3 linked regions of the Caenorhabditis elegans genome follow. The protein of the gene in region 3 interacts with the protein of the main gene of each other region in a pairwise test. Each region holds a gene or a part of one and is shown on either strand. Other genes may lie near its edges. The genes, in order: col-81, C05C10.5 and lag-1.

What was found.
Region 1: the proteins of lag-1 (region 3) and col-81 interact in a two-hybrid assay, tested with the Caenorhabditis elegans proteins (3 studies listed by BioGRID).
Region 2: the proteins of lag-1 (region 3) and C05C10.5 interact in a two-hybrid assay, tested with the Caenorhabditis elegans proteins (3 studies listed by BioGRID).

The regions. Positions count from the first base shown.
Region 1 is NC_003280.10:11,009,489-11,019,518, forward strand, and holds col-81 (Nematode cuticle collagen N-terminal domain-containing protein), read right to left. Parts: upstream 4,333-10,030; 5' UTR 4,273-4,332; coding exon 4,196-4,272; intron 3,904-4,195; coding exon 3,819-3,903; intron 3,765-3,818; coding exon 3,006-3,764; 3' UTR 2,909-3,005; downstream 1-2,908. Other genes in the region: ptp-3 (protein-tyrosine-phosphatase), read left to right, coding at 1-1,498, 1,552-1,804, 1,885-2,130, 2,184-2,294; ram-2 (Nematode cuticle collagen N-terminal domain-containing protein), read right to left, coding at 6,204-7,041, 7,254-7,336.
Region 2 is NC_003280.10:9,934,574-9,944,696, forward strand, and holds C05C10.5 (uncharacterized protein), read left to right. Parts: upstream 1-4,466; 5' UTR 4,467-4,653; coding exon 4,654-4,695; coding exon of another isoform or gene 4,696-4,699; intron 4,700-4,740; coding exon 4,741-4,844; intron 4,845-4,892; coding exon 4,893-5,234; intron 5,235-5,290; coding exon 5,291-5,441; 3' UTR 5,442-5,859; downstream 5,860-10,123. Other genes in the region: C05C10.3 (putative succinyl-CoA:3-ketoacid coenzyme A transferase, mitochondrial), read right to left, coding at 1-297, 740-937, 986-1,361, 1,430-1,919, 2,138-2,315; C05C10.7 (uncharacterized protein), read right to left, coding at 3,570-3,837, 3,882-3,974, 4,029-4,262, 4,313-4,362; ufd-3 (Ubiquitin fusion degradation protein 3 homolog), read left to right, coding at 6,188-6,232, 6,278-6,590, 6,640-6,746, 6,794-7,555, 7,606-7,921, 7,976-8,217, 8,274-8,626, 8,681-8,906 and 2 more; flad-1 (Molybdenum cofactor biosynthesis protein-like region), read left to right, coding at 9,564-9,716, 9,767-9,890.
Region 3 is NC_003282.8:6,096,854-6,106,976, forward strand, and holds the start of lag-1 (Suppressor of hairless protein homolog), read left to right. Parts: upstream 1-4,734; intron 4,735-5,863; coding exon of another isoform or gene 5,864-5,929; intron 5,930-5,984; coding exon of another isoform or gene 5,985-6,123; 5' UTR 6,124-7,483; coding exon 7,484-8,246; intron 8,247-9,314; coding exon 9,315-9,501; intron 9,502-9,552; coding exon 9,553-9,654; intron 9,655-10,123. UniProt on the Caenorhabditis elegans protein: Transcriptional regulator that plays a central role in lin-12/Notch and glp-1/Notch signaling pathways, involved in cell-cell communication that regulate a broad spectrum of cell-fate determinations.

The sequences.
Region 1 (10,030 bases), on a different chromosome or scaffold from region 3:
TTGGAGCGTGCATCGCCTTCTTGGTCTTGTTCTCGATTGTTGGAATGCTGATATGTTGGTGGTTGCGTTGCAATAAGAAGTCTGCTGGACGGCATCCACGACATGGTTCTATCACAAAGGTTGCGTTGACTGGAAATATTATGAATGGAGGTGGTGGAATACCTGGAGAAACAAGCAAGTTATTATCGACTTCCAATGAATACGGACGACAGATTATGAACCCCTATGAGCAGATGAATGGAAATCATCATATGGAATCATCGATGGATCTTTATCCTTTGCCAACAAGTCACTCTAGATCTAATGGATATGCACCTGTTCCTGTCGCAATACCATCTCTTCCAAATAATGGAAACAATATGACTACAGTATCCCATCCAGCTGTTCCGATAGCTGAACTTGCGAATCATATCGAGAGGCTTCGAATGAACAATAATGCAGGATTCCAGTCAGAATTTGAATCTATTGAAACTGGACAACACTTCACTTGGGAACACTCGTCTGCTGATATGAATAAGCATAAGAATCGATACGCGAATGTGGCTGCCTATGATCATTCCAGAGTTGTACTTTCCAATGTTGAAGGATATCCAGGAATGGATTACATCAACGCAAATTATGTGGATGGATATGACAAACCAAGAAGCTACATTGCCACCCAGGGACCACTCCCGGAAACATTTTCGGATTTCTGGAGAATGGTTTGGGAGGAGCAATCGGTTACAATTGTGATGTTAACAAATCTGGAGGAACGAAGTCGAGTGAAATGTGATCAATACTGGCCGAGTCGGGGAACTGCCACATATGGAGATATCGAGGTGACACTGTTGGAAAGCGTTCATTTGGCTCATTATACGATGAGAACGATGCGATTGAAAATGGTTGGAGAACCTGAAGTTCGAGAGATCAAGCATCTACAGTATACTGCATGGCCGGATCATGGAGTTCCCGATCATCCGACACCGTTTTTGATCTTCCTGAAGAGGGTGAAAACGCTGAATCCAAACGATGCAGGACCAATCATATCGCATTGTAGTGCTGGAATTGGAAGAACTGGAGCCTTCATTGTGATTGATTGTATGCTGGAACGTCTCCGCTACGACAATACAGTTGATATCTATGGATGTGTTACTGCGTTGAGAGCACAGAGGAGTTATATGGTACAAACTGAAGAGCAATACATCTTTATTCATGACGCTGTCCTTGATGCGGTGAACAGTGGATCCACAGAGGTTCCTGCCAGTCGGTTGCATCAACATTTGCACATTCTTTCACAACCATCAGCTGATCAATTGTCTGGAATTGATATGGAATTCAGGCATTTGACGACACTGAAATGGACCAGCAATCGGTGTACTGTTGCGAATCTTCCGGTAAATCGACCAAAGAACCGGATGCTCAGCGCAGTACCGTATGATTCGAATCGAGTAATAATGAGATTGCTTCCTGGAGCTGACGGATCCGATTACATCAACGCATCATGGATTGACGGTTACAAGTAAGCACATCTTCCCATCTCCCCATAATGATTATGTATTCGGTTTTTTTCAGAGAGCGCGGAGCCTACATTGCCACTCAAGCACCAACTAACGAGACAGCCGCAGATTTTTGGCGAGCAATTTGGGAGCATAACAGCCCGATAATCGCCATGCTGGTACGGACAAACGAACGAGGACAAGAGCAATGTAGTGACTATTGGCCATTGGAAACTGGAGTTCAAGTTGGAATGCTCGTCGTTGAGCCGATGGCTGAATATGATATGAAACATTATCATCTTCGAGAGTTTAGGATTTCGGATATTAATGTGAGTTTTCACCTATGGACGATTCGAAATGTGCCCATTATTGTACTTGTTTAAATGACGTCTAAGTTTAATATTTTCAGACTCGCGAAGTCCGAACCGTTCGTCAATTCCATTTCATGGAGTGGCCTGATGTCGGAAAGCCGCACACAGCAGATCACTTCCTCGACTTTGTCACCCAAGTTCACAATACGTATGCTCAATTCGGATGTACTGGCCCGATTACAGTACACTGTTGCTCTGGAGCCGGACGCACTGCAGTCTTCATCGCACTTTCGATCATTTTGGATAGGATGCGTGCTGAGCATGTTGTTGATGTTTTCACAACGGTAAGAATCGATTTCTAATTTTTTTTAAATGTATATGAATATTAATATTTCAGGTTAAACTGCTCCGAACAGAACGTCAAAACATGATTCAAGAGCCAGAGCAGTATCACTTCCTGTATCTAGCTGCATATGAGTACCTAGCCGCCTATGACAATTTCTCGTAGATATCCCTTTCACCCCCAGTTTGCTTCTAGTTGAAAACTCCCGGTAGAATTGTTCGATCTTTCACACATTTTTTAACACAATTTTCTATTTTTTTGTATTCCAAAAATTACATATAATTTACTGACAAAAACGCACTTCTCCCACTACACGAACGGGTTCAATTTTGTAATTGTTCTGTGTCCTTTTGCCTCGGAAATTTTCATTCTCTTTCTTTCCAAAATGTTACGGGTTACTGTACCCCATCCATTAACACTCTTCTCTTATCCATAGTTCTCCACCCAATCCATTGCTCATGTCTCTCAAACACCCCCCCGGATTGTTTGTAAATATTCGAAGTCTCTTTTTTCTACATCATCATCATTGCTGTTCAGCCATCTTTTTCTAATAATATTGTATTCGTTGGTATGTGATCTTTGTTCTCTTACACCGACTTTGGCAGATTGCTTTAATGAACTAATTTCTATAATTTAACTTTGACGGTTTTTAATGCTCACAAGACGACAAAAGAAAGAAATCAGAACCCGGTCAATTTTCATTACAAAGAAGTATGTCTCTTCGCGGCTCTCGGAAATTGAAAATGGAAAGGTCCAGTGAAAAAAAATTGTAAAAAATTCTAGTTGAACGGTTTATTCATTCGTGTTTGGCTACTACATCATCAGTCATGAGATACTCCATATCGAAAAAAAAATGAAAGACAGAAAACGGATATTTTAATATCCTGGAGCAGTTCTTGGTGGTGGGCAGTGATCGCAAGATCCGGATGATCCAGAATCTCCATCTTCTCCGTCCTCTCCTGGACCTCCTGGTTGTCCTGGTTGTCCGTCATTTCCGGCGTCTCCTGGACCTCCTGGCTGTCCGGCTTGTCCTGGTTGTCCTGGTCTTCCGTCTGGTCCGGATGGTCCTGGCTCTCCTTGGGATCCTGGTTGTCCAGCTGGTCCTGGGGCTCCTGGAACTTCGCGGCTCTCTCCTGGCTGTCCTGGCTGTCCGTCTTGTCCTGGATGTCCATCTTGTCCTGGTTGTCCTGATGGTCCTGGTGGTCCTGGTGGTCCTGGAATAGCAGCTCCTCCGCTTTGTCCTGGTCGTCCATCGTTTCCTGGGGCTCCGGCCTGTCCTGGAGCTCCTGGTGGTCCAGCTGGAGCGTCGGCGCATTCGAAGCAGAATTCTCTGTTTTGTTGGTGCTCGTAGCTGTCGGATCCATCTTGTCCTGGGGATCCTGGGTTTCCAGATTGTCCATCGTTTCCGTCATTTCCTGGACGTCCTGGTGGTCCTTGTGGTCCAGCGGCTCCAACTCCGCATGAGCAGCACTCGGCTTGACGTCTTCTGATAGCCTTTCTACGGGCGACACGTCTCTTGCTCATTCCACGGTGAGCCTCACGCTTGACAACGAATTTCGATGGAACTCCGGTGAACTCTTCGACGACTTCATATTGATTGTGAAGGCTCAGAGATCGGTGCTTGCAGAAGTCAACCTTAAAACAAAAACATGTTTCTTTATTTCAGAAGTATCGATTTTTCAGCTTTACCTCGGAGTCAAGCTTGGACTGAACATGTTGGACGTAGCTGTAGAAGGCTGGGATGGCGATGACAGCGATGAGAGCGGCGGCGATGCTGGAATTGAGAGGGATATTTGTATATTAATTGTAGGGCGATTTTGGTCGATGTACCATGAACGAGAGAAACAAGACATGGTGCATCAATAGCCCACTGAGTTGCTATGTGAAGCTAGTTACTCACAATCAGAAATTAACTAGAGAGTTTCAACGGTGGTCGGAAAAATTTTAAATGGGATTTTTTTGCTTTGGCTAAGCTTAAGGTGAAGTTCATACATATCAAATGAGATCTAGAAATATTCAAAATTGAAAAGAAATAGGAAATTAAAAATTAAAAAAAGAAAACTTACGTAACGGAGATACCAACGAAAGCGATGGATCGGAAGCTCTCGACCTCCTTCTCAACGAGTATTCTTTTGTCTTCCATGTTTCGAATGCCGCTGTATGCTTTCTCATCAACACACAACTGTCCTTATATACCACATTTCCAGAGAAAGTTTACAAAATTGCGATGACCTGCGTCTCGTGGGGTTATCAGTGTCTCTCTTTCTACCCGAATTTTGTGTAAGTTACAGTTTTGTTCGTGGAGAATTGATGGCAGAAGGTGCGCGATGATGGAGTGTTGAACTTGAGGAGTGGAAAATGAAAATATTGCAGGAAAAAAGCAAAACAAAGGTGGAGAAGTGGGGAGAAGAAAGCGGAAGAAGCCTAAAGTTTGTTGATCGAATCAGTGATAAGACAGAAAATAGCTAGCAGTTTTTTTAGGATGGAGAAGAGTAGACTGTAAGGTCAGTAGTTTTCACTTTTCGGGAACCATTTGACACTTTGATATCATTCTTACTAGAGAATCAAAGTTCCCAGTTCAACTGGACGTCTAAATTTTAATTCATAACTTCTTTGAAAAACTACAGTACCCAACCCCTGATGGTTTTCCTGGTTGCTCGGGTAATGACGTTGTCCATCATGTAAAATTCTTGAAACAAGAAATTTTCAAAATTTCAAAATGTCAAAATGTCAAAATGTCGAAATGTCAAAATTGAATTGTCAAAAAACTTTTGAAAAACTTGAGCAATACTTTTTTCTTATTCTCTAAATTAGTCCTAATTGCTCGCCAATTGCCGCCAACTTAATGCTCATTTTTTTTCAAAATTAATAATAAATTATTAAGTTAGTTATTCGTTTATTTTTAATGTTTGTCATATGCCTAACAAATGCTAACAAAATTTTGGCAATTGCTAGGTTAAAATTGAACAATTTTGGCAACCATTGAAAAATAGGAGAATATGTGTTCTTTTTTCAAAATTTCAAGTAAGTACAAAGAAATAACCCAAAACTGATGCTCTTTAAAAAAAAATTTTATTGTAAGTTTCGTTTTTTTTTTGATTTTTCGATTTTACAAAAATTTTCGATTTTTTAAAAATTAGCTTAAAGTTTGGTCATTGCTTTTTTTAAATATATTTTTATTTTTCCTTATATTTTTCTCAACAATTTAAACAAAATTCGATGAAAAATCGAATTTTATGGTCACTTTTCTGAAAATTTTTTTTCGATCTTAATTTGTTCGATTGTTCGATTTCAGATGTTCGTTGAAAAAAAAATCGGAAAATCGAAAAAATCGAAAAACGACACCCTTGATTAACATCGTGCCTTTTTTTGCTATTTTTTTGCTTCAACAGTTCTCAGTTGACTTTAATTTTATCTAACCATTTTTTACCATTAAAAATATGTGTCAACTATTCCTCTACATTTTCATAGTTGCTCAATTTTTAATAAAGCCAAATCCAACCGAAATATGATCTGTCAAAATAGATCAATGGAAGTTCAAGACTAATGGGAAAACTACTTTATGTTGAAAACTGTTTTATTCAATTTTGAATCCAAATATGCCCCTCCCTAGTAGAAATCCTGCAAAAACAACACCTCTCGGAACAGAACACCGTTCACTTTTCGGATTCATCCGAAATCACCTCTTCCATAAAACCGGTCTCATGATGACTTTTGCGAGAGAATGATGTCTCGTTTACTTTCAAACATTCTCCCACCGAAAAGTGTACCTAAATAGGCATATTTGATATCTTTGATTGTGTTATCAAGTGTTGAGGGGATACGTGTTTTTTATGACGAGACGAATCGTCATGTGAAACAAATTAGGCGGTTTTGTTATCCTATTTGATGAATTTCTTGTATTTTTCTTCTTTTTTTGCCTTTTTTTTTGGAAATCCAATGAGAAAAAGAATGAAAAAGAGCATATTTTTGAATGATATAGTAATTTATTCTGAGAATCATGGTGATTGAGAAAACGAAAACAAGAAAGAACACAGAAAATATACATAAATGAAGTCAGAAGATAACAACATTCTAATATCCTGGAGCGGTTCTTGGTGGTGGGCAGTGATCGCAGCCTCCTCCTGCTCCTGGCTCTCCAGCTGGTCCTTGCTCTCCAGCGGCTCCTGGTTGTCCGGCGGCTCCATCGCTTCCAGCATCTCCAGCTGGTCCTTGTGGTCCGTCTTGTCCTGGCTGTCCTGGGGCTCCGGCGGCTCCATCGGCTCCTGGGGCTCCGGCTGGTCCTGGGGCTCCGGCTGGTCCGGCTGGAACAGCGACCTCCTCGACGACTCCTGGGGCTCCGTCTTGTCCGGTAGATCCTGGCTGTCCGTCTGGTCCAGCTGGTCCTGGGGCTCCTGGGGCTCCAGCGGCTCCGGCGTTTCCTGGGGCTCCTGGTTGTCCGTCGGCTCCAGCGTTTCCTGATGGTCCCTTTGGTCCTGGGTTTCCGGCTGGTCCTGGTGGTCCGGCTGGGCAGTCGAAGCAGAAATCGGCCTCGGATGGGGTGGCTTCTGGATCAGCATCAGCTCCTGGTTGTCCGTCTGGTCCAGAAAGTCCATCCTTTCCGTCGGATCCGTCAGTTCCTGGTGGTCCTGGTGGTCCAGATGCTCCGGCCTTGCAAGAGCAGCAGCTTCCTCCAGATGATTGAGTGGTGGCTTGAACAGCGGCATCGGCAGGTGCGTCGTATCCAGCTTGACGCTTGACGATAAGCTTTCCACGAACTCCCTTCAACTGTTGCATACGCTCGTATTGGTCGAAAAGACCATTGGTGCGGTGCTTGCAGAAGTCGACTTCGGTTTGAAGGGTGGATTGAACATGTTGCATGTAGTTGTACAACAATGGAATGGCGACAATTGCGGTCAAAGTGGCAACGGTACTGAAAATTGAAATAGTAAAGAATAGGTACTTAATTGTGATCAACTTTTAGTCTAGACAGATATCTAGGTTAATAAAAAAAACTAATCTTAAACTTTCAAACTGGAAGAAGTAGGAAACATTCGAAAAAGTGAAAAGAACAGAAAGTTAAAAACTAGTAATCAGAATTCTAAAATTAAAATAATAGGAAAATAAAAATAGTAGTGTTATTACCTGATGCAAATGCCAAAGAAGGCGACCTTGCGGAGGGACTCGGCCTCAACCCAAAGCTTCTTCTCGTTATCGGCAGAAGACATGATGCGAATGCTGCTGATTTACCTGCCACCGGCGACGCACTTTTATACACTTGCCTTCGAAAGGCTGCCAAAACAAACGCAGATACGCAAAAAAAACGCGACAGGCGCGGAGGGAAACCACGCCCACATTTTGTTGGAGGGGTAGAGGAGGGACAGGTTGAATGGGTAGAGATGTATTGGGGCTGAAAATGAGTTAGATAGATATAGATCTACTAAGCATTCCGAGTAATCAAGGTCGTTTACGTGAAATCTGTTCGAAAACTGATGAGACGAGCTATTGAGAGGGAAAGTGAATAATGGGAATTGTAGGAGGAAGTTGGAGAAAGAAACAAAATTCACGAGTTCCATTCGAACTTTGATGATTTAAATTGGTTGACATATGTATACATATAAAGTTAGGTTGGCTCTAGGTTTTTCAATGAGCCAAGTATGTTGTGATTTCCAAAAATTGCGGCATTTTTCCTGTAAACTATGACATATCATAAATTTTTTGAGTTCTCCAGAATTATCAGAAAACGCCCATTGAGCTCTGCTGTAGCAGTATTTAGTTATTGCCTCTATGCCGACCGTCATCCGAGACACTTTAAATTTTTCAGAACTTTATTGCTCATCTAGGCTTAATCTACATGATAAAAAATTTTCCAAATGTTTGATTTGTGTCCTGCTGAAATCTACATTCGCTCAGAATCTTCCACACATCGCTTAATATTTTGGCACCTGAAAAAACGTTAAAACACTTCACATTATCACTCCAAAAAAGGAGAGAATCCGATATCCTAATTAATCTTATCAGACAATCACACTTCCGCATCCACCTGTTCGCAACAGGAATATCCGCAACAATTTTCGATTGAAGTTCAGAATTATCAGACATGGTGCATCGATAAACTACGGATCACAACTAGGTTATGTTGGGTTTTGTTTTGTTGAAAACATGTAACAACTACAATTAGGTATCTGATAACTCTAATTTTAATTCTCAGGTTAATTTCAATGTTCCCGATTACTTCCTCAAATCCATCCCACCGTTTCTCCTCCTTGCAGCCAGCCATTTTCTAATTCATTTGCAGGATAAAAGGATAAGCAATCTCATCAGCAAATGAATTCGGAATCGAACGTCGAAGCACACACACACACATACATATACACACTTTGAACGAATTCGACAATTAGGTGAATAGACTTCGTGTAATGTAAACAGGCTGTCATAATCATAAAATAGTTTTCGGAGACGTCGCCGGTGATGGTAGCGGGGTGGTGGTGGTGAACAACTTCTGAAGATCTGCCAATACTTGGAAACTCGAGACTTTCTAGCCTTTATTTAGTCTAATTATGAGCTACCACTCAAATTTTAAACGATGTAGCTCAATTTCAACGCCTTCAAGTTTTGATCTGAAATGTTTCAATGCATTTATTCACTATTTTCGGGGTTCGTTGAGTTGCTCCAAAGCAATTGATGGATTTTTGTCTAACTTGTCTTGTATGCAGTTAGATCTGAAACTAACTGTTTTCCTTTTTAGTAGGCCCACTTGCTTTAAATCCTTTATACGTCTAAGATAAGCTGCATCGTTAAATAGTTGCCGTTCTAAAAGAGAAACCCCCACTGGCAGAACATCAACCAGCTTCTGACAAAATTACAGACTTTTAGGCTTCACCTCCTCTCCTTATCACATTTCCTCCGTTCGATATCTTCGACCTTTTGAAATGTTGCGCATTAGTGAGGAAGTGTTACGAGACATAGTGGAGATTGCCGATAAGTTCCCAATTTTTCCACCAACAAAAAAAACTTAACACTCGCGTCCAATACACGACTGGGGGACGTAGCAACAAGCTTCGTCTCTCTCTCTCTCTCCTGTCGGCAACTAAAAGATATCATCTACGAGACGCAGTTTTTCAGTCACTGTGTAATCTATGCGTTGGCATTTTACCTGTCCATTTTCTCCATTTTTATGATATTTTTGAACAACGCACATTAACACTATTTTGACACCCAGTTTTTCGACAATGAAGCAGCAATAGAGAGGGTGGCAAAATAAAGAAGCGGCTAAAGGTCATACGGAATAATAGAGAATATATGCAAATCGAGAAACGGGAATTCGAAAAGCATGACACTATATCGTGATGAGAAGGTCTTCCCCGTCTTCGACAGTTTTTAGTTGAGGGAGAATTGAAGAAGCTAAAAATTATGTACTCAGGTAAACATAGGATATTTTAGATACTACTCTACCAAAAAAAACTATTTTCATTTTGAAGCGGCATTTAGAAACCGTCAAATCCAGTTTTTGAGATTTGTTGTGGTATATTTTTGCCCAAATTCGATGCTTGGCGAATTCGGCAAATTTGCCGAGCTCGGCAACATGTAAATTTGGCAAACGGTCAAATTGGCAAATTCGGCACATTTGCCGAGCTCGGCAACATGTAAATTTGGCAAACGGTCAAATTGGCAATTTCGGCACATTTGCCGCACACCCCTGGATCAAACATGGGCGAAGCATAAAGTCTTGCCAAAATCTTCTCTAACTTTTCTAACTTTTGCCAACTTTTGATTCAACTAATATTTTCGAGCCAAACTTGAACAAGAAGACAGTCTTTAAAAAATGTCAAATTTTTCCTAAGTAATCTTGTCAATTTGCCTGATACTATCACAACTAAACATCAAAAACTTTCTAGACAAGCTTTATCATCTTGTCGCAC
Region 2 (10,123 bases), on a different chromosome or scaffold from region 3:
CATTGGCTTCAGATTTTCGGAAATTTCGAATTTGCAAGCGGTGAGTTTCTTGATATCATCTACAGTAAGATCCTTCCTGACTTCGATCAATGTCAATCCGTTCTTTGTGTCCACGTCGAAAACTGCCATATCAGTAATGATTCGGGAAATTACTCCTTTGCCGGTCAGAGGAAGTTCGCAGTGCTCTAGAATTTTTGGCTCTCCGTTCTTCGATACATGCTCCATTACAACGATCACACGGGCTCCGGGAGCAGAGACAAGATCCATTGCACCGCCCATTCCTTTCACCAATTTTCCCTGGAAAATTTTAGAAATTTATTAAGATGGAAGATTAAGCGGAAAAGTATATTTTTATGAAGTTGTCTAAATTTTTTGTTTTTGGGGGTTTTTCGTTTTTTTTTTAAAGTTTTTTCGGACCAACAAAATAAATTCAGATATATATTTAAGAAATAAAATCAAGATTTTTTGGAGTTTTGTAGAATTAATATTTTTAATCAAAAAATTATTTTTATTGAGACTAGATCTGGCCAAAATTGTTCGGTTAATAATTTTCGATCAGTCTATGTGCTGCGTGCATTTTATTTAATTTGAGTTGCTTATCTTTTTTAGTTGAAACTTCGAGCGTTTTTAGACATCACTGATAAATAATTTCAGATCACTGATCATATTTATCTTATCACTCGGTCGATTAAAACACAAAGAACGAATTATCAGTGATCTATTTTTTCTCAAAGCTCACCGGAATCATCCAATTCGCTAAATCTCCAAACTGTGAGCACTGAAGTGCACCGAGCACAGTAATATCCATATGAGAACCACGAATCATTGCGAATGATTCATCAGAACCAACAATTGAAGCTCCTTTGAGAAGAGTAATTGGCTCTTTTCCAGCATTAATGAGATCGGCGTCTTCTGTTCCTTTTCTTGGATATGGTCCCTGAAAAACAAAAATGAAAATAAAAATAATTAATTTAAATTTCCTTACCACTCCAATAATACCATTCTCACTTTGCAAATGAACAGTAAATCCATTTGGTATATAATTTGGCGCCAAAGTCGGAATCCCGATACCCAAATTGGCGTACATTCCATCTGTGAACTCCAAAGCTGCACGTGCTGCAATGATTTCTCTCGATTTTCCAGCAGCCGATGTAGATGGTTTTATTGGTCCTTCGTGTGCGAACATTGGCCGTTCGATTGGTTTTTTGTAGTTCTTTCCCAAAACTAGACGATGACAATAGATTGATGGAATGTGCACATCGTTTGGAGCAATTACTCCCGGTTCGACGATTTCCTCTACTTCGACGATGGTGCATTTAGAGGCTTTGCACATTGGATTATTGAAATTTCCAGCAGCATGTCTGAAATTTTGATTTTTGTTGTTGTTGTAATTTTTCAAAAATGATTTTTTAATTTTTTTAATTCTTACCTGAATTGAATATTTCCAAGAGTATCTGCTCTCCACGCCTTGATCAATGCAAAATCTCCCCAAATAGCCTCTTCCATTACATAATTAATTCCATTGAATTGTCGTGTTTCTTTCGCTTTACTTGCAACTTCAATCTTTCCTTTTTCAGTTTTACTGTACTTAATCGGAGCACCTCCTTCTTGAATCTGGGTACCGTATCCTGTTGGTGTGTAGAATGCGGGAACACCGGCACCAGCTGCACGAATTCGTTCGGCGAGTGTTCCTTGTGGTGTGAATTCCAACTCGAGCTCTCCGCTAAGATATTGTCGAGCAAATTCTCCGTTTTCACCGACGTACGATGAGATCATTTTCTTGATTTGTCGAGTTTGAAGGAGCAAGCCAAGTCCCCAATTATCAACTCCCGCATTGTTTGATACACATGTAAGACCTTTTTGACCAGTTTTTGTGATAGCTTGGATGAGATTTTCTGGGATTCCGCATAGTCCGAAGCCTGAAATTGGTTACTTTATTTCTATTGATATTAAAGTATTTTCAAAATTGCCGAGACACATTTTTTTGTGATTTTCGCGCCAAAAATACGGTAACTGTTCTCAACACAAACATTTTCGTTGAATGCAAAAAGGTAAAGAGTACTGTAATTTCGACTTACCGTATTTTTGGCGCAAAAATCGCAAAATTTTGGTAACATAAAAAAATTCCAAATCTTACCGCCAACTAAAAGCTTTGCATTATCTGGAATATCCTTCACGGCTTCTTCGGCAGAGTTAAAGACTTTTGCTTTCATCGAGGATGTCATTGAGATTAGCCTCATTTGATGAGCATTTCTCGGAGTTTTTCTCAAGATTCCAGCTGCTGGAGCCGCCCATATTTTTGAGAGAATCGGCATTTTATCTGAATGAAAATTTTTTTAATTTTGGAAAAAGAAACAATATATTTAGGATTATAAGATGGAAAAACCAGAAAGTCAAATTTGTGGAACAAGGAATCGGTATTAAGTAGAAAAGATTATAATTGTGTGTTGATACTCGATAACAATTTCCGTGTTGCGTATTTGATTTCTTATCAATATTATTTACAATAAAGTAGCGGAAACGTACAAATAAAACGTTTTAGTGATGGGAACGTCTCATTTACTGAAAATAATAAAACCCGGTATCGACACGACAATTTTTTATTTATTACGGTACCAAGTACGCATTCTCATGATTTATTGTTCCCGTAATAACGCGAAGAGGAGTGCGCTTTTAAAATGTACGGTAATTTCAAACTATCGTTTCTGTATGATTTTCATAGATTTTTTCACAGTTTTTCAATTATCTCAAGTATTTCAAAATATTATCAAGAAAACTAAAACAAAACAATAAAAACAGTTAAAGTTTAATGCGAGAAAAAATATAAAAATTTTGCTGCAACGAAATTTTAAAACTACAGTACTCTTTAAAGGTACACATATTTTTTCAATTAACAAACTTTGCAGTGTCGAGACCGGGTTCTGTATTTTTAGTACAAAAGTTGCAAAAATAACGCGTCTGGGTAAAATTTTCAATGTTAATTCCGATGGGGCTCTAGAAAAATCATGATAAATTCACTGAACTAATAAAAATTTAGAAAACTGTTATAAAATCTTAATTTTTAGAGGTAGAATTGTCTAAAGCAAAAAAAAAACTAAAAACCATCAGTAGCCAATAGTCTGAGCGAGTGTGTCACAACTTGAGTACACAAAAACGTTTCTTTTTCGCATTTTTTGTCTACTTTTTATAGAGACGCAGACAGAAAATCAGGGAAAATGAGAAGTGAAGTTAACTGAAGGTCTGGGAAACACGTGGTTGTGAGACTGGCGAAAAGTTTTGAGAAGAAAAATTCGGGTGATATTTGGGAGGAGTTCTGCCTTGAGAAGTTTGATGTTTGAAGTGTGATCTGTGATAAGGATGGGAGGGCAACAGAGACAGGTGGCCAGGACACAAGTGTGCTACTGACGTTAGCTTCTTTTTAAATAAAATTTTCAAATGTAGTTTACTGTCATTTTAGCGAATTGTACAATTAAAAAAATATATATAAATCCGTACATAGTTACGAATAAGAGCAATTTTAATAAAACATATGTTTTTTTTAAATTTTTATTCAAGATTTAAAAGATAACTTAACAAAATCTGCGGTACATAAACCAACAAATAGGAATGACGGCTAATGCACCGGAAACGTATAAAAGTTTCGAAAATTTGGATATAATTGGGGTCTCATCTTGCGCTTCTTGTGTAATCTGGTCCTGAAGATCCTCCACGTCGATCAGCATGATTTTAACAGTTGACCGGAACGCTCGGATCATTTGAAGAAGATTCTTCACATTTTGAGAATCATCAAAGCCCAAATCACGACGTTGTTGAGGAGAATATTCATCAAGGAGCTGTCTTAAAATTGACAATTGATGAAAAGTTTGATTTCCAAGACCGACCCGCAATGAATAAGTTGTCGCTTCATTTTGTGTACTCCCATTTCGGATTTTGTGAGGACGTCGTGGAGACGAATGACGCATACTGACTTTTCTCTGGAAAAAGGCAAATTTAATTCTTTATAAAATGTATACTTTTAAAAAACGCACAGGTTGTTTTCAGGGCAAGCTAGGCTGTTGAAAACTGTACTGGCATCCCAATCCAGAACTTCCGACTCTCCAGCTTCTCCAAACGCTGTTTCTTTTGAAAGTACAACTGGACTTTCTCCCAGAAATGAGCCAACAAACTCGGATTCGAACTTCCTTGGAACCTCTTCCTTTTTGATGATTTTTGGAGTTTCTTCTTCGACTATCAAGAATTCTTTTACATGGATCTGAGGTGATCTGTAAAAGTTAATATTAGAATTATTATTAGTTATTAAAATAAAACAAACCTTAGCTCAAATCCTTGAAATTCTGAATCAGAATCGTCAAAATCTGACATTTTTCAGAAAAGAGTGTTGTAAAACAAAAGAAATTTAAAAAAACTGCGAAACTGTGTATTTTTGCGTCATCGTGTTTGAACTATTTGTGCGCGCGCGTTTAAAAAAAAACAAAAACAATTATTTTCGACCTACTTATTTTATTGATCTGCCTCTATTTTACCGATGAAAGTGTATCAGTCGAAAATTAAAATTATGCGCGGGAAAATTCTGATTTTTTCATTTAAATTTTCGCTTGTCATTCATTCCACAGACCCATTTTTTCTCCCTCTCACCTATTTCACACACTAATTATGGAGCATTTTCATGGAAATCGCTGGGACCAGTTGCGTGCTGTGAGTTCTTGAATTAAAATTCGTTTACAATATTTATATTTTCAGGTAGAAGCTGATATTCTGTGTCCCCCGCCTGCAGATCCATTCCAAATCTTCCCCAGTGGATGGACCAGAGCCTCGGAGCTCAGCGAAAAGGGATGGAGAGAATTGTTTGTCCCAAAATGTTATATAATTGTTTCTATAATAAGATTATTCAGGCTTGACCGCAGAAGATCGCAAAGCCCGCCACCACGTGAACCATCACCAGACGTCAGAAGAGCGATCAGACGGACACCGCCGCCACGTGTCAACCGTGTGGCTCCGATTCGACTTCCAGAGCGGCGTCCATTGCGGCAATTGAACGCCAATGACGCCAGAAGACCAGCACAAGACGCTGCAAATCGCATAAATCAAGAGAATATGCGTGCAGGAAATATCGACAATGGGCAGCCACGTCGTCGAGCACTCTCCCCGACACAATTGCCAGGAGTTCGTGCGATTCCAAAGGACTTCAATCGCTTCTTCCGTGGTCTTCTGACACCTGGAGAGTTCTTTGCCAAGTGAGTTTGGATTTTCTAGCTGTTTTTAGGCTCAATTTAAATATTAAAATTTTCAGATCGCAAACCCGGTATCTTGGGCCATTCGACGAAATGCCAACGGAGGATACACTTCCAGCAGCCGACGAGTACATCATTCTGCAGCGAATGGGACGACTTCCGGATAGCGGTAAATCAATCTTCAGACAGGTCGGCAATCTGTCTACATGATTCCCAGGACTGAAATTGCTGCCCCTCAACGTTTTATCCACATTTTTCCAGTTGAGATCGCATTTTTATCTTTAAAAAATTTACTAAACCTTATTGTTGCCATGAGTCATAATTGTGATATACCTATAATTCCTTAATATAATCAATCTTCTTGAATCCACCCCACTCATTGATTAGTTGTGTGCAATAATAACTTTCGTTTAATGTTTGTAGTCTATTGGTATCGCTGTTTTAGCGTTTTTATGTTGTTTTATAATGAACCAACACCGTTTCCCCATTTATACTTGCGTAGGACAAAAATAAATCAATTGTCTATCAAACTCGGTTCCTTTCTTGTTTTTTTTTTGAAGAATTAAAAAGGTATCACTCCTGTTTCGAGACTATCTAGTGCGATGTAAATTTCGCTCTCAAAAAACCTACTAAATTAAAAAAAGTTTGCCGATAAAAGTATTATTTATTTTTAATTATTGAATTTTTAACACTCTTTGCAAAGTCTTGATGTTCTGTGAAACTTCAAATATTTATTTAAGCGAATCTGAATGCCCTTCTCCAAAAAATTGCATCCTATCAGTGTTAAATTTTGAATTCCCGCAAATTTGCCTACTGCGGGGTCGTAGAAATCCTCTTCCATGTGGCGTTAGTTCGGAGCATCGTTTGCAGTTTGTCATCAAAACTTTTTCGGATTTTTCTCAATTTCGTTATATTTTTTTGTTGATTAACTTTAATTAAAAGCTATTCTTCAGATAATGGCAGATGACGGTCTCGGTGACGTGCCAATGGAAACGGAAAGTGTGAGTTTTAGAATTTGCCGAATTGAAGTGGAATTTATTTTGCAGATGCCACAGTACACAATTTCCCATGTTATTGAAGCCCACAAATCCGACACAAAGGCTTTGGCAGTTACTCAAGGCGGATGCTTGATATCGGGTGGTCGTGATGAGACGGTTAAATTTTGGGCAAAAAAAGGAAAACAGTATACGAAAACGCACGCCTTTGAACAACCGAAAGGAATAACTGTGAACTCCATTGCATACGCTGAACTAGCGGACGGATGGAGACTTTTTGTTGGCCGAAGAGATGGAACAATTGCAGTTTTTGGCCCGAGTCAGGCGGAACCATATGCAATTTTCAATGAGCATAAACAGAATGGTATTTTTGCTTTAAAAAATATTCAAAAGTGCAAAATGAATAATTTCAGTTTGCTGTCTTCACATTAACGAAAAAGCGACTCACATGCTGAGTGGTTCGTGGGATTCCAACGTCATCATCTGGCCGATTACCGAGTTGAACTCGTCGTCATTCACTGTAATATATTTTTAATCGTTTTTTACTGGATTTTAAAGTTAAATTAGTTCCAGACTATTGTTTGTCCAGGCCATACCTTGTCTGTGTGGGCTCTCGCTTCTTTCCCGGATCTTCCCAACACTTATCTATCTGCCAGTGCTGATAAAACAATTCGTATGTGGTTTGGAGATACCACTCTCTCAGTTTTCAAAGGCCATACTGATGTCGTGCGAGCTCTCGTCGTATTATCAAGCTCTCACTTTTTATCTGCTGGAAACGATGGACATATCATTCATTGGGATGTTGCATCAGCGTCGATTCTCAGAAAATTTGCAACTCAGGCACATGAATTCATTTATAGTATGACATTGAGCGATTCCCACATATTAACAACTGGTGAAGACGGAACACTTGAATTTTGGGCAATAGATGGAGGCAAAGATGGAAATTTGGCAATTGTTTCTGAAGCAGTTATTCAATTACCAACTACGAACACTTGGGATGCTAAAGTTTTATTAAATTCCGATATCGCTGTGGCTGGAAGTGATGGACGGATCTATATCATGACCACTGATAAGAATAGAAAAGCTGACGATGATATCTTAGATGCATTTGATGCAGAAGTTGTCGCAAAGCTTACTGCGAAGACGGAAAGGATGAAGCAAGAAGAGCATGAAACTGTCACTATCAAAGTTGACATAGACGATCGACCGACTCAACTAAATCTCAAATACAAAAAGGGAACAGATCCGGGTCTTTGTGCTCAAGAGTTTTTGAGTGAGAATAATTTGCCAATTCACTATCTGGAGGAGATTACTAGATTCATCAAGGTTTGCTTTTTCCATTAATATGTTTCAATGTTGATTTTCATTTATTTCAGGACCGTATTCCAGAAGCTCGGGCATTTGACTTGAAATCTGGCAAAAAAGTTATAGTCGACGGAAAAGAGTACGATTACGCATTAGGTGTTAATTTTGGAAAAGGCGAGCCGGACAAGCAAATGCCATTCAACGTGAATGAGAGCCCTCAGTTTGCTGCTCAACGCTTTGTGGAGAGACATCAACTTCCTGTGAGCGTTATCCCTTCTCTTGCTGGAATGATCAGTCAGGAGATGGACAAGTTGTCGAAAGGAGCTGCTTCTGCTCAGTCTGGATATGAGGATCCGTTTACTGGACCAGGAAGATATGTACCTCAAGGTTCATTGAAATAAAGAAATCAATAACTCCACAATTTCAATATTTGAATTCCAGGTTCGTCGAATTCTGGCGGTCACGGTGCAGATCCTTTCACCGGATCCGGAAGATACGTACCTCAAGCATCAAACTCGAGTGGCTTTGACACTGGTTTTTCTGGTGATCCTCTTACCGGAGACGGTGGATATCGTGCGTCCGCACCTGAAAATACTGGAAGTCATGCCGTTCCTCTATCATCTCTTCCACAAAACAAGAAGAAACCACGTGGACCATTGGTTCCAGTTCCTGATTTTTACATTGTACGTTTTCTAATTCTTCTCCTCAAAATTCAACATACTTAATTCAATGTATTCAGATTGGGCTTGCTGGAAAAGGCGAGAAAGCAATTGCAAAACTGAAAGAGCTAAATGAAAAGCAGGATGCATTCCAATTGAATCCTGATCAGATTAATGGCCTTGAGGAACTTTTTGTTCTCCCAACCTCTTCGAATTATTCATCAGAAGTCACGCAGTCTGCATTCGAAATGTCTCTACAATGGCCAGTGGAGCACTTGACGCCAGTTCTTGATTTTCTGAGAATCGCACTAACTCATCATTCACTGAATTCGTATTTCTGTGATCGTGAACGTGGTCAGGAACTTGTCGGAAGATTAATTGCTATTCTTGTGTCAGATCCGGCTGATGTGGCTTTGAAGGTTCTGGTTTGTAGGTAAGAACAAATATATATTTTCGTCAAGATATAATCGTTGTAATTTATTTACAGATGCATCGCAAATGCATTTTCGCATCCAGTCGGTCGCAACCTGTTTGCTTCCACCGAGCTCTCTACTCTAGCCCCACTGGTTGTTCGTCAAGTTCTTAATGAAAAGACGGTTCTCCAAATGTCTGCTGCTACAGCTCTTGCCAACTGGTCTCTTGCTTTATTGCAACAATCCGAGCAATGCGAACAGCTGGGACCCAAGGAAGACTTATTGAGAGCCATTTTGAACGTAATTCTTCAGATTCGAGAATTTAACAATATCTTCTATTTTTAAGGGAATCGAAAGCGTCGACTCATTCGGATATTTGGGTGAAGACGCCATCATTCGTCTGCTTCAAGCATTAGTTACAGTCATGTGGGGAGATGCCTCAGTTATTCGAGTGAGTTTTCTAGAAATAACAAACATTGTAAACGCAATATTTTCCAGCTTGCCAAAAATCGTAACATTGCCCAAATTGCCGCTCGTCTCAAGGATGCAGTTTCGAACGACTCGGGAAAAAATATTGCTCGTGATATTGTGGAAATGACTTATGCTGTATGAAAAGTGTTCTAAAAGACCGGTTCAATTTTATTTGTATATAAATTGTCCAGTGCTTGTATTTTTTTTCCGGTAAAACCATTTATTTTTCACAGCCCGATTGTACTAGAATTTCAGCCCGATCTAATTTATTTGTTCTTTCTCTATTCATGTTATGTAAAAGACTACATGCTAGCCTGAAAGTTTCCTTATCAATCAATATGAACATGTTCTTGATGTCTTTCTTTTTACCGGTTCAATGGATATTTTACCACAACAATTATCGCAGCTCAGTTGAATTGTGTAGAATTTTTCAAGCTTATACTTCTAAAAGATATTCTCCGTTTTTCACATTATACTTTTCAAAAGATGCGCGCAATGTTCAGAACTCCACGGATGCCACAACGGAAAACCGCAGCGATTCTGGTGATCGGCGATGAGATTCTGAAGGGGACAACAAGAGATACAAATTCCCATTTTCTATGCAAAAGATTGCATAAATTAGGTGTAAACATTAGGAAAGTAAGTGAAGTTGGAGGAAAAACATGAAGGAATTGTGAAGTCATTTTCAGATTTCTGTAATTGGAGATGATATTTCTGAAATTTCTCGCGAAGTTCAGTCTGCCTCTGGGGCATACGACTATGTGATCACAAGTGGTGGTGTTGGGCCGACTCATGATGATAAAACATATTTAGGTAAGATTACTGTTTAAAAATATTGGAACTTGTAGTTAAAAAAAATCAAAAAATTATATTCTCCTCGTAGCGAAAACTACAGTAATTCTTTAAATGGCTACTGTAGCGCCTGTGTCGATTTACGGGCTCGATTTTCCAAATAAATGAAAATCAAGAAAAAATTATTTTAAAAAAAGAAACAAAAGAAAATGGAATATTTTTGTCAATGTTCGAAATTTTTTTTTTCAAATGTT
Region 3 (10,123 bases):
TTCAGGAAACAAAAAGCGGACCGAAATATTTGGAAAATTACATTCCGCACTGCCAGGAATTTGCTTTTCCGGATCAGATCTGATTTTTTTTTTAATTTCTACAAGTTCTACAATATTCAAATCGCCAATAAAAATCTCCAAAAGCATGATAATTCCAAAGTTCGGAGTATCATATTGGAACCGTCAGTTTCCCATACGACAAAGGTCGTGCCCGTTCTATGTTTCCATCATTCTCTCCAGTTTCATTACTATTTCCTACGTCCATCCTGTCCGGCGTCCTCTCCGTCATCGTCCTCTGTCGCAGCCGCCACCGCCGACACTTTCCCACGCTCGTTTTTCCCACCACACACACACACACACACACACACCAGTTCCCTCCCCTTTTTCTCTCTTTTCAACGGCCAGTTCGCCATCCCTTTCTCACACATTGTCTGTGTATATGTGAGTGAAAGAGAGTGTGAGAGAATGCCCGGAGGCCGTCCCTCTTTACTTGTCAAGAATAGTATATGAGATGAAGATGCGCAGACATTTTGAGAAGTGTGTCCTCTCTCTCCTCTCTCTTTTTTCCTTCTTTTCATCGTCTGCAAACGGCCCCGCAACCGACCGACCACCGACACAGCCCACAAGGCCAACCTTTTTTTCCCACTCGTCGCTTTTTCCCACGATATTCCATCTTTCACACGTTCCTCTCTCAAGCATTTTGTTTTTCCATCCAGGCTTTCTCCGAACTTTCTAGCTCGTCTAGGAGCTAGACTAGAACTACAGTACCTCTTGATCAGTGATAAGAGACTGGGGGCACTCCTACGGACTGTCTCTCTAAAAGTTTCCCAATGACTTTGGTTCTTTATTTCACTGCGTCTCTGTGGGAATACAACAATCTTCGGTGTGGTTGGGGGGTTGTCTTTGTGGCAATGAAGAGACAACACATACGCACACAAGATGATGCGTCCCTGGGAAACCCCCCCAACTGGTGGGAAGATTGAAAAGTACTAAGAAATTGCAGTAACTTTTAAAGTTGACTAGATTCTCGTATCTCGGTGTTACAGCCTAACTTACAGGCATGCTTCTTCTAGATTCCAGATGATTATACGACATTCAAAAATTATTTTGGTACTTTTCCTTTTCTACCCCGCATTTTCAGAAGAATATTCCAATCATTGAATTATTCGAATTTAATTCTCACGTGAATGTTCATTTTAATACTATTTTCATTTTTAGGCTTAGAAAACAACATTACTAAGCCTAAAATAAAAATTAAAAGCTTTCCATTAATTCGTAAAGAATCATACCTTGATTGACAAAATATCAACAATCAACGGAGAACTTTCCTGCTCTTGCTCTCTTCCTGTTATCAACTTTGAATTGTTATCATAGTTTTCCCGTGTATATTTCTCACACAGTTCTTATTTTACCGAACCCGCCGTCCTGCCCGCCCATATTCTCGTTCGTTCTACGCCGCGCCGTCTTGTGTGGACATTTTCCCACCGACGCCACCCTCGGCGGTTCTTTTTTTCCAGTCACACACTGATTTCCATATTTGTTTAGCTGGTATACATTTTCAAAAAATGTCATGACTGAGGTGTCGCTGGCGACGGCGGCGGTCAGTACCAGTCAGTTTCTCAATGTTTTGATGTTGAGGTTCCCATGATGCTCTGGGCAATTTCGCACATGACGCGGTGACGGTCGAATTTTTTGATTAAAAAAAATATCTGAAAGATGCTTTTTCCTGATTTTTGAAGAGCTATTTATTTGGATACAAATTGGAATTTCAGTTTTTGATTTCGATATTTTCTCTGTAGAATTTGAAAACTAGTTATATATTCTATGCCAGTATTTGAATTTTCTACATCGTAATCATATTAAAGCTGGAATCGTGAAGGCAGGTCTCGTCACGATCTGGGTAATAATAATTCCTCATTAGATTGTACAAAAAATTTGAATTATTCCAATCCTTCACACCTCTAAGATCATCCTCTCGTATTTCAAACTTCGCCTATTTATCAACCATTCCAAGGAACATTACCTTTTCGTGGATACATGTTGCATTTCTCTTCTTTGATTCTCTTTTCTTTTATGTTTACTTTTTCTGCGTTTCTTCTCACACCTTCTCCAGCAGCTCCTCTTTTACCGATTACCCAACATGACCCCGTCGTCTTCTTTTTCTATTCAATATAACAATTTTATGTGTCCGTGTTTGTGTGCAGCAGCAGCAACACTTTCCTATCTCATCACCTATTCCTTGACGACCGTTGATGATTCTTCACTGGCTTCTAGTACTGTAATAATTAGAGACTCGAATCGTCGTTATTTCACTGTAAATTTTATAAATTGTTCCATACTTTGCACCTGCACCGACACACAATCCGAATCTCTCGGTGCATTAGAGGTGGTAAAAGTGTCCGATTAGATTGGAGATTAAAATAGTTATTAGGCGTGAGAGAGAGAGAGTGTCGGTTGGTTCAAAAAAGGAGTTGTGTGATTGACTTTTTGAATAAGGAGGTTTTTTCAAGCCGAGCAGTTGTTGAGCTGAATAAGAAAATTCTTTTTTTTTTATTGGAAAGACACAAAATTGTTAAAAGTTGCGCAGAAATCCAAAACTCTCTTTTTTAATGAACAATTAAAGTTAAAAAACACGAGACTTCACTCAAAGTAAGAAAGTTCGTTCCCCCTTTATCGTATTTCAATTTTCTTGTCTTCTTTCATAAATTCCCTTTTTAGATCTTTAAAAATTATACATATAAAGGTAAAGGAAGTATCCGATCAGAAAAATTCGATAATAGACCCCATTTCAATCTGGGGTGTGATTTTCCGTGTTCCAATCGGCTTTTTAGTACTTTTTGGAAATTTTCCTCCTTTCTCTAAAATAACGGTAGTACAGAATAAGGAAATTTTTTTTTAATCCAGAAGCGGCCAGCCAACTGTATAGGAATTTCAATTTTTTTTAATGTGCTGAACAATTTCGAAATCAAAAAGACCCTACTCTCCAGCTGATTACAATCATCTGATCGATGTCATATTTCTTTTCCCAAAAATAATTTGTCTTGTTTCTCTAATTACTCTTCTCTTATCATCACAATCTCTCACGTTTCTTCTGTCTCACCAATAAAAACGGGGGAATCCCCCTGCAGGTTCAAGTTGATATCATTAGAAACCTGTTTTTCACGCAGTCAATACTCTTTTTTTTCCCTCGATAAATTGATCATTTTCTCGGCTTTGGGCGTGGAAATATTTTCTGCAATAAGATGTGTTGAAAAGTCAGAAAAAAGAAAGTGTTCATCCCGCCCGTTGTCGTAGATCATTTGTTTTATGGCAATTTTCATCATCATTTTGTAACCGTCTTCTTCCTCCTCTTGCGCATCCAATCCACATATCACACAAAAATGTACAATACGAAAAATAGGTCGGTCTCTTCACATTTTCATCACCAAAAAAGTGTTTTTGCAGAGAAAAAAGTGGTGATAAATGTGGAACTTATAACTGTAAACACATTTAAACGAGGGCGGCGAAATTAGATATCAGACATATACGATACAAAAAAAATTAAAAAATCTGTGTGTATTTTGTTTGTAAAAAAATAAAATAATTGCGAGTGCATTTTTTTCAGATTTGAGGATAAATTTTAGAATTCATGGAATTGGAGCATTCGATAGGTCGAAAGGAAAGTATTTTGAGCATTCAATTCGTTATATCAGTTATCCGACTCAAAGCAATTTGTTCTACTTTAGAATTAACGCACTTTTTCGATTCTGAGAAATTTATTCAATTCGAGCTTCTTTCTGTAATCAGATTTTACCGCAATTTTTCAAATCTTTTTTGCTCTTCTTTTCCATATTAGCATTGTTCGTCTCAAAATTTTATTTTTGATTTCGAAGGCTAATTTCTTCTTTCCCAAAAATTCGTACTCATCTATGACCTTTTACAGTATCAAAGAAACATATATGCATTTAAAAATTATTGAAAAAAACTGTTTGAAAATCTCAAAATTTTGTCATTTTCAAACTTAAAACTCGAAGAACATTTGAAAAAAATACAGTATTCGCTTCAAATATAATCGTTTTCATGATCGGATTCTCTCAGAATTTCATCTTCAATCTGAAAATACTAGATTTAAGTGATTCCGTGGATCTTCTATTCTCGTTTCAAAGCTTCACACTCCTGCTTTTTTAGTTGTCCGATCTCTTGTTTCTTACCATATTCCGACATAAAAATCCCGCCGAAACCCATCAAACTTCTTCTTCTCGTATACGAATATAATATGTGTGGGTGCTCCGTTTTGTCGCACAAGTACCGTACCTCTGCTTCCTTACCGATATTCTTTTCTCCGAATCGACGACAAAATTTAATGATCGATTCGGAGGCGGAGGTCGAAGTGGTGGGAATAGAAGTGATAAAACATACGCACACCTCCCGATTTTGTCGATTCTTCGTGTATGTGTCTCCCCGGCAGTTTCATTCTTCTTCCGAGAGCATTATATTCGGAGGTGCTCCCTTTTTGACACGTCCCTCTAATTGTTTAAAAACCTCTTTGGATAATTTCCATGAAGTTTTATTAAAGTTTTAATTTTCAGACTGGGTGAACCCGCACGAAATCTGGATAAGTTTATAGGTAAGTTCGTAATCAATCCATCGAAATTTCAAACAACGTATCATTGAGTTCCAGAAGCAATGTTCCAGTCGGTATCGCCGCTGGCCGGTGTCGCTGCAGCGCCGAGCCAAATTGCCGCACTTCAACAGGTGAGATTTGATTTATTTTGGTAGTAGAAATCATCAGAAAATTCTAAAAATTCGGAAAATATCAAAATTACAGCAATAAATAAAAAATTGAAAGTAAAAATGTCATGTTGCCCAGTTAAAGGGGTATTAAAGTTTACAGTTTTGGTCAAATTAACTAAAACTCGCCCGAAACAACTGAATTTTTTCAATTTTTTCAATTTCATAACGAGACTTTTCAAAAAATTGCCGGTTTTTTTTTTGAGAATTTTCGTTATGAAATTGGTTCGTTTCAGGCCAGCTTTTGTATAGTTCGGCAAAAACTCAAAAAATCTACTCCCCCTTCGAAAAAACTTGACAATAAGTTTCCGATTTTCAAGAAAAAAACGGCGCATGGAGTAGTATTTTTAAAATTAAAACACCTAAAAATGAGAACTGAACTATTCGCTAAAAAGTCGCTGAAACCAGCGGCAAAATATTAAAAATCCCAAATCCCTACGGAAAAATTCAACAATGGGCTCTATTTTGGTCACTTCCAAAAAGTCGAATTTTTTTTTATCATTAGGCCCTTTTTTCCTTCCTTTCATATTATAAGAATATTCATTTTTAGATATGTATTTTGAGTTTTTTGCTTAAATATTCTCAGAAAAAACCGTTTCTCACAAAATTTCTCAAAATCATTTCTAATCGAATCAATCAATTTTCCCAGTCCCCCGAAGCACGAAAAATATTCACAAAAGCCTTTAGTTTTCTCCCATAACATTTCTCGTATTGTCGCTGGGACTCACTTTTCAGATATATAATGTTGAAAATAAACTTGCATCAATATTTCAAGAGAACATTTTCTAAATTTGTATTTCCCAAATAGTTCCTATTTTTGAATTCCTAGTTTTTTATTCATTAAAAAGTTACAAACTGGAAATTTTTCTAAGAATTTTTCAAATTTCAATATTTTGGGCAATTTTAAATTTTATAAACTATAATTATTAGTTATTTGAACTATATTAGAATCTAAAATAATTTAAAATAGACAAAAAAGGCGTACGGAGATGACCTGTAATTTCCCAACGTCTGCATTTATTGATTGTCACCCCATTGTGTTCGAGTTCAAAAATTCGATATTTTTATCAACTTTTGATTTATTTTATTTCAGATACAAGCGTTGATGACATTTCAAATGCAGCAGAATAATTTATTTCCCAAAATTGACACTATATCGGTTAGTTTTCACTAATAAATTCTTATATTTTAAAATGTTATAATATCAATTTCAGAAATCGCCAACTCCAGAACTCGCATCTCCATCGGCAAAACGAATGAGACTTTCTCCCAGTACGAGTAGCCACAGTGATGTCGCATCAACTTCGAAAGGAACAAATGGGCAAGATCAGTCGAAAAATTCGCCGACAAATTGTGAGTTTTGGAAATTTTCAAAATTAAAAAATATGTAAACTTTCAAAATTCATGTTCTAGACCATTTTTTCCCCCCAAAAAAAAGTCGTATCAGATACATTTTTCTGATTTTCCCTTGCAAATGTGTTCTTCCAACTGAAATTTCCCTCAAAATTTTTCCCTTTCCCTTGTTATTTGGGAAACTGAAAACCGCCGAATGGTGAGAGTGTGAGCGCGCGTGTGCTTCTGTTAGCTGCATCGACTGGTGGCTAATTCATAAGCCCACTCTCTTTTCCCGTCGAATTTTCCCACGTCGATCGATAATTTGAGCAGTGCCGACGGCTCAGCTCAGCTCTCCCTAGACTTCTTGTGTGGAGCTCTACGATTTCTTGATTTTCTAATGATTTCTCTCTCGAAGCACGAAAAATTCGAGAATCGCTTGATGGGGAACTTGTTTTCATTATGATTTGGAAATCAACGGAAAACAAAAAGGAAGAGACCGACACAGTTCTGTGAAATAAATATAGAAGTGAATAAAAATATGCATAGTTGTCCATATTCATGTGGGAACTTTTGGTGCTCATCTCTATTTGACAAGAGACCACAAGGAATCGAGTTACGCAGATGGTTCACTTCACACGAATAATGATAGAATGAAATAGATCAAAGACAGAGAGCTATCAAGGAAAAGTACTGTACCTGGTCGACAGGTGCCTGGAGGTACCATCATGCTCTTTGAATTGAGCACACAGTGGACAATGGCCGTAGTGCAATTTAAATGAGGTGTATTAGTCAATAGAGAAGATAGTAAGAAGTTCCCTTTGTAGGTTGACTCGACAGATATGATTTAATTCGGATGTCTCCAAGAATCCAGAAATTCCGATTTTCCATATATCTGAATGTGCACTCTTCCCTATCAGTCATCCCCCGAGAATTTTCCCCAACCAACCAACCCATCGATTTTCACACGAAGATTCACACTCATGAATCACTTGAGATCCTCTTGTCTTATCGTTATCCCATAACTTTCTTGACTCTTCTCGTGTGATGAGAGGCACCACCACCACGACGGAACGCAACAAAGAGATCACCTGTGTATACACATGGTACATCGGGAAGGCAACAAGTGAGGATTAAGATTTAATGTAAATGAGTGAAAGTGAATGAAAGCGACCGTTACTATATTAGGATGGTTCAATTTTGAACGTCTTTGTTTCCAGATGCCACTCAATTAGCGTTCACCTATTCAGTCATGAAATATCCGAAGAGCTCAACGCTCTCTCTCTCTGATTGGATACTCTGACTCCGCCCATCTACCAGTTTGTCTTTCTGTGTGCTTTTCCATCAGAAAAAGCTATAGACTATATGAAGAAGAGAAAGAATGTTTTCGTGGAGGCGTGGCGATTGTGAGTCGCAGAAGGAAGAAAACCGAAGTGAGGAAAGGAAAGGAGAGGAGACTATTCGTTTTCCCACCCGCTCTCCTTTTCATTGTGTGCTCTTCTTGCTGACAGACGGCTTCGTTCTTCACAAACCCACAGCCAGCCCCACCGTCGGTTTTTCCCCCACAATATTCAGCTTCTACTATTCTCGGTGGGAATCTTCGCATCGGATATCCCACGACGAGAGCGGCTTCTGCACCGCGAAGACCCCCCTTCAAGACTCGACTTTCACGCGCCACCCATCCACATCGGTCCCATCGTCGCCCTCAACGCCAAGACACTCCGGGATGGATTATCATCAGTCGTCTTCGGTAGCTTCTTCCGAGTCGACAGCGTCTACAGTAGCCGCGGCGGCGGCTGCTGCAGCTGCTGCATCACTCAATCAGCATCATCATCCACATCTATATTGTGATGATGGACTTCTATCGAGAAGTTTAACTGATATGGTATCATCTGGTGGATATGATAGCTCATCATCTTCTCTAAGTGCAGCTGCATCAATGTGTTATCCGACTCCTGATGCATATTACTATCATGCTCCACCACCACCACCTCCTCCACAAGCACAACAGGGATTCAGTTCAACAGACGCGTGGCTTCAAATGCAAATGCAACCCACGTATCATAACTTTGGCAGTACTGTCGTCTCTACCAATTCCCCACTTCCAAGCCACCTTCTCAGTTATGGAGGACAACCAGCATTTGGTGAGTGAAATTAGTAATAAACGAGGTATTAATTGGATTACGTAAATTCTGAGAATTCGTATTTTGCAACTTGTTAGCCGAAATATCTCGTATAGACAAAGCGCTACAGTAGTCACTTGAAGAATTATTGTAGTTTTCGCAACAGAGATGTAAGCTATTTAAAAATGAAGTGAAATACTGATAGAACTAGTATAACAAGTACAATAACCTAAAAACTTGTTCTGAGATAGCTCAACTCAATCTATAAAGTCAAAACATTCCTAACACCATTATCATGTGATAATTTTTCGAATTTCTCACCCTTATCAGTCTGTAATAAACTATTCACATAAATAATTTTACTAGTAGTTCGCATCTCGTTTGAGGTCTCACTGAAAGGGTTCCGCACTGTGTGCCAATACTATTTTATTATAATGGGCGCACGTCGCGGCAACACCAAAAAAGAATCAAAATTATGCACAACGGCTCTCCTGTGGCGGCTAAAAGACCGGGCGCCACCCACATCGTTATCATTCTCCTGTGTCTCACACACACATTCATATTTAAAACGACAAGGCCACAGACATTGGTTTTTATTCAATCCCTATTGTATTACCTCTATCCCATCCCACATTGAACATTCCTCTCGATGCTCAACCCGTACTATTCGTATTATCCCTATTACTATGGGGTTGGTGGGGCTCCGTCGTCTTCCAATGATGTGCCAACTAGTGTGATATCTAGTACCACTAGCAATACAGTAACTGCATCTGATGGTGTTACACTCACGAATCTCGAAGCACCGAGCTCCGTGGCACCACCGCTTGCTCCGACTTTTCCGCCTCCGAATTTCTCAATTCCATTCAATTTTGATTTCAATTCGTTTACAACGGCTTCTACTACGGCCTCGCTTGTAAATGCTTTCAAGAATAATAGATTTCAAGCGTACGACCGTAAGAATTCTAGAAATTCCAGCGGTCAAGTAGAAAATATCTCAAAAAACTTGGGCGGAATATTCAAATTTGGTGGGTTTTTGATAAAACTTGGTTTAAATCTGCTTTAAACTGAAAGTTTCTATTTAATTTCCAGCTGATCCATTCTACACAATCGGGCAGTCAACTCCAAACACATCATCATTCCTGGACACTTCAAATTCAAGTTTTGGAGCTCCGTCAACAGTGGTTGCCAATCCGATGACCAACTATCAATTGGCATTTCAAGCGAAACTCGGAAGTCTTCACAGTTTGATTGGAGATTCTGTTCAATCGTTAACAAGGTTTTTTTAAAAAAAAATTGATTTAATGTTAGCAATAATATTTTTTTTCAGCGATCGAATGATTGATTTCTTGTCAAACAAGGAGAAGTACGAATGCGTCATATCGATTTTCCATGCCAAAGTTGCCCAAAAGTCATATGGAAATGAGAAAAGGTAAAGATAAAAGGAAGACAGGTGGCGAGAACAAGCTCTTATTTAGTTGAACACAAACCACTCAATATTTGTTCATAATTGATACACTTACAACATACACAGATAGGCTCTAATGTTTTGGTTCTTTTCGAGCAGGCAGGTGCTCTCTCTCATCTCGGGTATCAATTAGATGTGGTTACGGTAGCTTTTAGAGAGAGAGATCCGATTTTCATTCTGAAAAAATTCGTTTTTCGATTCGAAAAAGGGTACGAAAATTGAAAAAAAAACCGCGAGACTGCGCCGACTCACGTAGCGTGGGAAGATTCGATCATATGTATATCACGAGTTACTTTTGATATGCTGAGTACCTTTTTCTACCGGGTATACGGTAACTCTTTGCCTCGATACATGTCTACTAAGACCTGCACGGCTACCGACTTGCTAAAGTTCAGGAATTTGCAGATTGCCGAAAATTATTGGTTCGGGAAGT